2 linked regions of the Rattus norvegicus genome follow. The protein of the gene in region 1 interacts with the protein of each later gene in a biochemical or structural test. Links are inferred from orthologs where the notes say so. Each region holds a gene or a part of one and is shown on either strand. Other genes may lie near its edges. The genes, in order: Plxnd1 and Sema4a.

What was found.
Region 2: the proteins of Plxnd1 (region 1) and Sema4a form a complex in vitro, tested with the Homo sapiens proteins (2 studies listed by IntAct, with this or other methods). The link is inferred for Rattus norvegicus from reciprocal best matches to the Homo sapiens genes PLXND1 and SEMA4A.

The regions. Positions count from the first base shown.
Region 1 is NC_086022.1:150,712,117-150,716,687, reverse strand, and holds the start of Plxnd1 (plexin-D1), read left to right. Parts: upstream 1-1,500; 5' UTR 1,501-1,533; coding exon 1,534-2,850; intron 2,851-4,571. UniProt on the Homo sapiens protein: Cell surface receptor for SEMA4A and for class 3 semaphorins, such as SEMA3A, SEMA3C and SEMA3E. Plays an important role in cell-cell signaling, and in regulating the migration of a wide spectrum of cell types.
Region 2 is NC_086020.1:176,209,411-176,214,007, forward strand, and holds the start of Sema4a (semaphorin-4A precursor), read right to left. Parts: upstream 2,849-4,597; 5' UTR 2,651-2,848; intron 2,545-2,650; exon of another isoform or gene 2,366-2,544; intron 2,150-2,365; exon of another isoform or gene 1,948-2,149; 5' UTR 1,925-1,947; coding exon 1,780-1,924; intron 84-1,779; coding exon 1-83. UniProt on the Homo sapiens protein: Cell surface receptor for PLXNB1, PLXNB2, PLXNB3 and PLXND1 that plays an important role in cell-cell signaling. Regulates glutamatergic and GABAergic synapse development.

The sequences.
Region 1 (4,571 bases):
GGAACATGGCAGGCAGACAGGCGGGCAGGCAGGCAGGCAGGTGAGGAGAGACAGGAAGGCTGGGGTGGGGGCCAGGGAACTGGGGATGGCTGTATTCTGAGCCCTTGCTGCTGACCCTTCAGACGCAGGGAAAGCCCCTCCTCACCCCATTGGTGAGGAGCAAGGTCACCCTCTGAGAAAGGGCTATCAGGCCTCAAGTTGACAGCTGTAGCTGGTAGGGGCCCCTGACTGAGAACTGGGACTGTGGCTTCAAACACTGGATCTGTGTCTCACCTTCCCCATTAGCTTTACTTCTAGGGCCTCAGTTTCCATGTATGTAAAATGGGTTGAATATTTCTAAGGAAGCTGGCTTTTGGTGTGATCCCATGTGGGCACCCCCATGTTGTGGAGATGACCGCATGCATGGGTGTCTGTGACCTTAGGAAGAGGACTACTTGCCTTTATCCCAGTGCCTACCAGTTCCTTTGAAGTTGACATCAAAGGAGTCTGGTGCCCACTGCCAGCTCATATGTGGAAGGACTTTAGGTTTTCTCAGAACCTTGGACTAAGGGGCAAGGTCCTGGAGGGCCACAGGGTTTGCCTCTTTCCAGAAACCAAGGCCCTGTGGTGTCCTTGCTCAGCCCAGCCCGCCCTTCCAAGAGGGATATACTTTCTCTCAACAATTTTCTACTTGTCTTAGCTTGTCCTGGATGCCTGCTGCTTGTGAACTCCCTTTACAGGGCAGTTTTGGGAACAGACCATGGGGTCCCAGGGGCCTGATGTCCCAGGTCTGGCTGGCCTTTAAAAGGAGGCTTGGAGAACATGTGGAGGGGAGGAGGAGCAGAGGGGGAGGAGGGCGGGGGTGGGGGGTGGGTGCTGTGGCCAGAAGGGGTAGGTGGGCTGAGGGGAAATGGAGGTCTTTAGGGGCAAGGAGAGGAAAAGATAGAGAGGGAGAGCTGCGGGAACAGAAAGGAAAAAAAGAGAGAGAAACACAGATGAGGGAGAGGGTGTGACGCGGGAGAGGCACGGGGCGGAGTTGACTGGATCAGAGTAGAGGAGTCGGAGAGATTGAGAGAGCGAAACTCTGAGCTGCGGTGGAAGGCAAACCGGAGCCCAGAAACAGAAGAGGAAAAGGACTAGAACGAGGAGAAAGAGGAAGGATAACAAACAAGCGTGAGGAAGACATTCCATGTGGTGGCCAGGAACCAGGGAAGTGGCAGGCAACTTGGGACTGCCGGAGTAACGGCCAGCAGCGACCCCGGACCGCGGGGCGTGGCCCGGGGCGTGGCCCGGGGGCGTGGCCCAGGGCTAAAGGGCGTGGACCAAGCGGCTGGGACAGGGATGGACTGTGGGCGTGGCCTCCACGGAGCCGCCCCCGGGCTGAGCGCCGCGCCAGAGTCGGGCCGGGGCGCCGGGGCCGGGGGCGGCAGGCGCGGGCAGGAAGCGCCTCGCGGCCCGGGCCCGCCCCCCGCCTCTCGCCGCCTCCGAGCTCCCGGCTCCCGGCCGCGCCGCGCCCCATGCACTCGCCGCGCCGCGCAGCCCGCGCTCGCCTGGATGGCTCCTCGCGCCGCGGGCGGCGCACCCCCTAGCGCCCGGGCCGCTGCGGCGGTCCCCTTGCCTCCGCGCTCTCACTCGCGGTGCCCCGGTCTGCTGCCGCTGCCTCTGCTGCTGCTGCTTGGGGCGGCACGGGCGGGCGCCCTAGAGATACAGCGCCGCTTCCCCTCGCCCACGCCCACCAACAACTTCGCCCTGGACGGCACGGCGGGCACCGTATACCTGGCGGCGGTGAACCGCCTGTACCAGCTGTCCGGTGCCAACTTGAGCCTGGAGGCCGAGGCGACCGTGGGTCCGGTGCCGGACAGCCCGCTGTGTCACGCCCCGCAGCTCCCGCAGGCCTCGTGCGAGCACCCGCGGCGCCTCACGGACAACTACAACAAAATCTTGCAGTTGGACCCGGGCCAGGGTCTGGTGGTCGCGTGCGGCTCCATCTACCAGGGTCTGTGCCAACTGAGGCGCCGGGGCAACATCTCAGCCCTGGCTGTGAGCTTTCCGCCTGCCGCGCCGACCGCAGAACCGGTCACCGTGTTCCCCAGCATGCTCAACGTGGCCGCCAACCACCCCAACGCGTCCACCGTGGGACTAGTGCTGCCGCCGGCCTCCGGCACCGGGGGCAGCCGTCTGCTCGTGGGCGCCACGTACACCGGCTACGGAAGCGCTTTCTTCCCGCGCAACCGTAGCCTAGAAGACCACCGCTTCGAGAACACGCCCGAGATCTCTATCCGCTCCCTGGACGCGCGTGGAGACTTGGCTAAGCTCTTCACCTTCGACCTCAACCCGTCGGACGACAACATACTGAAGATCAAACAGGGAGCCAAGGAGCAGCACAAGCTGGGCTTCGTGCGTGCCTTCTTGCACCCGGCGGTGCCACCGCACAGCGCGCATCCCTACGCGTACCTGGCGCTCAACAGCGAGGCGCGTGCGGGCGATAAAGACAGCCAGGCGCGCAGCCTGCTGGCGCGCATCTGCCTGCCCCGCGGCGCGGGTGGCGACGCCAAGAAGCTCACCGAGTCCTACATCCAACTGGGCTTGCAGTGCGCGGGCGGCGCGGGCCGGGGTGACCTCTACAGCCGCCTCGTGTCGGTCTTCCCCGCGCGCGAGCAGTTCTTCGCTGTCTTCGAGCGGCCCCAGGGCACCCCAGGTGCCCGCAACGCCCCGGCCGCGCTCTGCGCCTTCCGCTTCGCCGACGTGCAGGCCGCCATTCGTGCAGCGCGCACCGCCTGCTTTGTGGAGCCGGCGCCGGACGTGGTGGCGGTGCTGGACAGCGTGGTTCAGGGCACCGGACCGGCCTGCGAGAGCAAACGCAACATACAGGTAAGCCATGGACCCGAAGAGTGAGTTGGGATACAGTATGCACGCAGATGTCCCAGAGGATTGATGCTGGCCCGGGAGCGTACTGGGTCACAGGTGCACACACCTAAGTGGGGAGGTCTAGGTTGTCAAGATACCCAGGTGTTCCCCCAAGACAGCGCACCTACAAATCAGCTCTGCAGGGGGCGGGGGCACAGGTGCGTGCTGAACCGAGAGAGGGAGTGACACCAAGAGTGTGTTTAGGGAGACTGCGGGTACCCTTAGGACATACCTCTGCACCCTGGCAGATGTGTGATGGGTGTGGCACCTGGTCCTGAAGATAAAGAGAGGGTGGGATGGAAGGGCTGAGTATGTGACAGGGACACTCATCGGAGACCCCAAGAGTGTAGACATGCAGGGATGTAGACTCCTGGTGGGAGTCTGTGCCAGGGGACTCTGGTATTTGGGAAGTGTGATTGGTTCCCTGGAGAGGCCACCTGGTTGGCAAACAGGTGTGTGCTCGAGGCCACTCAACACATAGCAGCTGAGCATCTAGCAGGTGGCATGGCAGACCTGTGAATACAAATGTTGTGGACCTAAGCCAACCATTCTCAACATGTGGGTTGTGACCTCTGTGGAGTCAAGCAACCCTTTCACAGGGGTTGCATTGTCCTGCATATCATCGTGATTCATAACGGTAGCAAAATTACAGTTATGAAGTAGTAGCAACGAAATAATTTTATAGTCGGAGATCACCACAACTGCATTAGAGGGTCACAGCGTTAGGAAGATTGAGAACCATAGACCAGTGTGTCATGTGTCAGATGTCTTCAACAAATGCCTGTCCTCGTCCCTTTGTACATACAGATGAAGAAATGGGTGTTAAGTTTTAGGGGATGCTCAGAGTCCAACAGTTGAAAAGTAGCAGAGGTGGGACTTGAACACAAGCTGTCCGGTCCCAGCGTGTGTCCATGGTGCTGGGGCTTTGCTGCCTTACAGATGTGGAGTGGGGGGCGTCCAGGCAGCCCAGGACAAATGGAGCCACTGAAGATGGAAAGGAGTCTTTGGCAGGGGTCTTTGGCGGAGAACTATAGGGCTGAGAGTGAGGTGGGGTCTCAGGATGGGCAAGAGAGCCAGGTTAGGGGATCACCAAGTGAATTGGCCTTGGGTACAGCCAGTCCCCTCAAATCATTTCACAGCAGAACTCTCTTTCCATTCCCCCAAAGATACTGAGTTTACAAAGGGCTAAGCCCAGCCTTCTGTGCTCACTGAGGCTCCCTGCCTTGTCTCTTTCTCTGTGGTCCTCAGGGGCAGCAAGACGATCCCGTGGGCGTGCCCAACACTGGGGCTTTGAGCAAGCCCAGATTCCTTCTCTTGGCAAAGACTCCCTCAGCCGCCTACCACCCTGCCGATTGACCCCTTACAAGAAAGGTCATAGCGGGTGAGAGGCAGACGGACTATCTGAAGCGTGTAGCTTGTAGCCCTACCACCCGGCGGGGTCAGACCCTGTGCAGACTGCAGGGTGAGGGCAGCCACCCTTCTTCTCTATGGAGCCACAACCTTGCCATGGCTGTGTCTGACTGGATCTGAGGACTGGGAGTGTAGGAAAAGGGAAGCTCTGTGGGCAAGGGAGGCAGCCCTTTGTGGGCCCCTAGCCGATGAAGGGTTCTGCGGGATTCCTCAGGCTGCTCTCCCCTCCCCCTCCAGTTAGTTGTGTCCTGATTCCCACGGTCCTTGGTGCCCCC
Region 2 (4,597 bases), on another chromosome or scaffold:
GTTGCCATCTCCACTCAGGAGCAGGGTGTCAAAGTCCCGGAGGCCTTTTTGTTGAAAGAAGCTGAGGGCCCTGTGCCCATCTCCTGTTGGGAGGCAGTGATAAGGAGAGGATGAGGAGGAGCTGTGAGCAGTAGCTGATCTCTGAGGCAGAGGTGGGGGAGGGTGGCAGGCCTCAGCAGCTTCGTCCCACTCCCGAGATCACTCTTCACTGGCAGACTCCCCCCCCCAGTTTCCTGCACCCCCAATAGCAGGCATCTGAACTTTGTGTGCTGAGTCCCCAGAAAAGTGCCCAAGATAGGGTAGTGATAGCTTCAGGCTGTTGCAGGGATTAGGGGGAAAGCCTGCTCAAGACACAGACATGAAGTGAGGTAGAAAATACATTCTTAGAGCTTCCAGGGACTAAGCCACTACCCAAAGACTATACATGGACTGACCCTGGGTTCCAACTGCATAGATAGCAATGAATAGCCTTGTTGGGGCACAAAAAAAAAAAAAAAAAAAAGGAGATGATGCATTCTCAGGCCTGGAGGGTTCAGTGAGGCAGGATAGGAGAGGGAAGAGCTGACAGGTAGACACAGAAAGGAGTTCTCAACCACAAGCAGCAGAGGTAGCTGTCATTTGCCACAAGACTTATCATGGTTACAGATTCCTGCCACCCCCATTTCCTCTGTTTCCTCCCCTTGCTCTGTTATAAGAGTTGCCCGTCACTAGCAGGGCTGCGGCTGAAAACGCTGCTTCCTCTGTCTCTGAGGCCCATCAGCGTGGGCATGCCTGAGCCCCATCAGTGTGGGCATGCCTCGGTGCCACCTGGTGCCGAATATGTTGGTTAGTAGAGCATATTTGCTACCTAGCCTTGTGGAGTGTGTAGGCTCCTGCCACACGGGCCCATCAGCAGGGAGGAGTGAGCACTTCAGAAATTCTCTCGTGAGCACATTTGGCCTTTTACTTTAGTCAGAGGACAACCTGGTTGTTACTGTTTTGTCCTCAGGAAATTTGGGGGCCAAGAGGACTCTGAAAACAAAATGGGAAAAGGTGGTACATAGGTTGGCCTCCCCTCAACTCTGAAGAGGGCTCCTCCTTGTTTGTCCCCTTGAAATGCAGCCTTGTTTGTGTCTGCACTCCTGTCCCACCCAGAGATGCCCTCTCTTTCTGCTGGCCGGTCCACCTCCTTTACCATTTTGCCTCAGAAGGATGCTAAGCTATAGCTGTGAACCGAACTGCCTTACTTCTGTATTCGTGAGCGAGGGGTGTGTGTGTGTGTGTGTGTGCCAGTGTGTGTGTGTGCAAGCGTGTGGGTGACTTCCCCTGGGGCATTTCCTGGAACTAAAGGTGTCAGAAGCCCAACAGCCTTATCAAGAAACCATTTTGACTGGGTGAGCTGCTAGGATCCCTTCTCCTGGTGCCCATCCTACTGGACAGGATCTGGCCTGGTGTGACCTCTGCCATTGGCTCGGGCTTCCAGCTCCTCAGACAATCTAGCCTGAACTTTGGCTTTAGGGCCCCTGGTGCTGAGCAAGTAGTCAGGAATTTAAGGTTCCCTGCTTGGTTACTGTGACACTTGAGGGAGAAAAACTTGGCAGAGACGGGAGAGTGACAGTGACCCTTCCTTCCCTTCCACACCAACTTGTGCCTCGAGTAGCCTCCTCTTCTCCCAGGCCCTCCGAGGCTACCTGACATCTGTTTCTCCATCCTGTTTCATTCTCTCTGGCACACTCTTCTCCTTCCTCAGTCCCTTCATCTCTACCACGCATCCATGCCTCCCAGGTAGCAGACACTTACCCGCATGGTACTTGACTCTGGGCACGGGTCCCTGCCCACCAGTCCCGGAAGCTGGTGGCAGTGACAGCAGCAGGAACAGTTGGAAGAAAAAAACACTCAGGAGACTCCAGGGGTCTTGGCCCAGGGATGGTAGGGCCATGGTCATCCGGAGACAGTCACCAGATGGTTCTGAGGAAACAGGCACTTTCTGGGTTAGCCATGCTTACCACACCCTTCCTGAGGGCCAATAGGAAAGCCCTGGAGGGGCAGAAGTTCCTCTCTGGAAGGGCCCTCGGAGTCTCACTTCCATGCATTCCCAGATTCGATGTTGCCTGCTGATGCCCTCTGTGCAGGGTGCTGCTGTGGCCTACGCTGTGCCTCTGGTCTCCTACTATTAAAAAACTACCTTACCATTTCTCACCTGCCTCACAGGAAAATTCCTTCTCACTCTTGCCCCTTAGTATTTCCTGGCCCTAGACTCCAGAGCTCTGATCATCTCTGGCCCTGGGCAAAAGGTTTCTGGGGAACTAGGTCCTGTATGCAAAAGGTAGAGTCCCCAGGCTGGCCTGCCACTCGGCACTGTGACACCTCATACCTCGCTACTCACCTCAACCCAGGCAGACAGCCTACCCTCTCCCCCAGCCCCAGGGGCTCTGACTCTTGCTTAATTGAGCCCATCTAGCCTTCCTCTTAGGGGTAGGGGCATGTCAATTTATCTACCAGTCTGGCCAGTCCTCTGATTTCCTGGGAGGGGCGGGGCGGGAGTCACTGGTAGACTCTTAATTTCTCCAGCCCCCCTGTCTCTGTTGTCTGCCTCCTTGGAGCTCTGCATCAGCCTCCCTGTGGCCACTGAATGCAAGTCCCCCTCACTCCCCACCATTATCTCACATACCCTTGAGCCAGCCACACGGAGAAGTCCTGTGTTCAAACCCTGAATCAGGGTGCCATCCAAGGCAAGGAAGGGGGTCCGGGCATGGAAAGCAGGCTCAGCCTGGCTGGAATGGGAGCGCGGCCCTCCAGGCACTCATCCTGCCAGAGCCAGTGTGGGTTTCAGGCCAGGGAAACCAGAATTTCTACCTCGAGTTGTGACAGATCCTGGCTGGCTTGGGCGGAAGTTGGTGGATCAGGGCGGGGAGACTGGTGGAGGGGGGAAGTGGGGGTGAGGCTTGCAGACCTTGCAGGAGACACACCTCCCTCCCTCCTTAGTCTCTCCAGAAATTAAGAGTTCCTTTTAGGCCAGTTAGTTCAGTGATGCCTTGTTTCTCTAGTACATCACTTCCAGTCTAACCAGCCTAAGCTGCAGACTCCTCTTGCTCAAGAGAGCTCAGTATGACATTGTCATTTCTATTCTTTTCTTCCCCATAGTGGGGTTCCCCCACTGCCACATACTTCGACTTCTCCACCTCCCACACCCAGAGGGACCACATTCTTGAAAGGTTACACATTTAAAGCCAGGCATGGTGGCACATACCTTTAATCTCAGCACTCAGAAGGCAGAGGCAGGCAGATCTGTCTCTGAGTTCAAAGCCAGCCTGGTCTACAGAGTGAGCTACAGGACATCCAGGGCTACGGAGTGAAACCCTGTCTCAAAACAAATAAACAAGAAAAGAAAAACACCTTACGTTTGTATTCGGTTTTTTCCCCTATAGCTTTGCTTGAGGAAGCCCTAGTAATTTAATGTCTCAGTGGGAAATTCAAGAAATTTCCCATCTGAGCTCATGCTTCATGGGATACACTTTGGAGTTGAGACACCCAGCTGGAATGGTGGCTGGTTCCTCCTCCCCAAAGGTTCCAGGAAAACCTCATAACGCAGGGTTAATGAGTAACCAAGGGCTCAATAAAGAGTGGTTGGGCTGCTGCCCACTCACCCAGGTCAGCTGACTTCAGGTTAAAGAGCACGATGACCCAAGGCTGGTCTACCTCCAAGACATACCCTGTCTTCATCCTAAACACAATTCTCACTGCCCACTGTAGGCTATCCTCCACCCTTCGGTCACAGCTCCTAGACTGGAAGCATTCCTCAGTAGAGCCCGCTTGGCTTTCCCTTCATGCTTTTCCCTCTGTTCCCCTTCTCTGCTGTGCCGCAGGAGCTGGGCTCACACAGACTCTCCTGATGGCTACATCTGTCAAAGCTTAAAAGACACCCCCAAACTCTAATGCTCACTGTGAGAACTCTGCGAATCTCTCTATTCTGACACAATCTCCTGGGTCTCCTTGACCTCTAGCTCAGGCTTGGGAAGCCACTACCCCAGGGCCTCTCTTTGGAGACAGATTACCCTATCTGGGTCACAGGGAGGAGCTGTGACAGGGGAACCAGAGGAACAGCTCTAATGCCATCTCTCTACTCTGTTTCTGTCCTTGGACCTCCTCACAAGACCAAGTGGTCTCCCAGTCCCTCTGACAATGTGAAGAGCTCTCACTGGTCTTCAGGCTTCCCAACTTTAGCAGGCAGGCTCCACTCCAGTCTTCTTGCACAGAGAAGGGAAGTGCAGCCGGGGTGGCTGGACAGCCTGGTGCCCATCTACTTCAGACCTGTCTAATTCGGAAGCTCTCCCTACATGGCTGGCTCCTTCAGTCCCATCTCCTGCCCTACTGGATTAACTCAGCTCAGAACTGCTCCAGAGGGAGTAAGCAGGCATCAGGGTGGGAGGAGCAGGGGCTCTCTCTCCTCCAGTCAGGAACCAATCATTCTGCATGATTCCTGACTCAGAAAGAACAGAAATCTCCCCGAAGAGAGGCCATCTGATGTCCACTTCAGCCTAGGTGCTTCGGCCCCTGGGTGTCACCCACTCTCTCACAGTGCCTTTCAGGTCAAGCTCAGAAGAGAAAGGCAGATGGG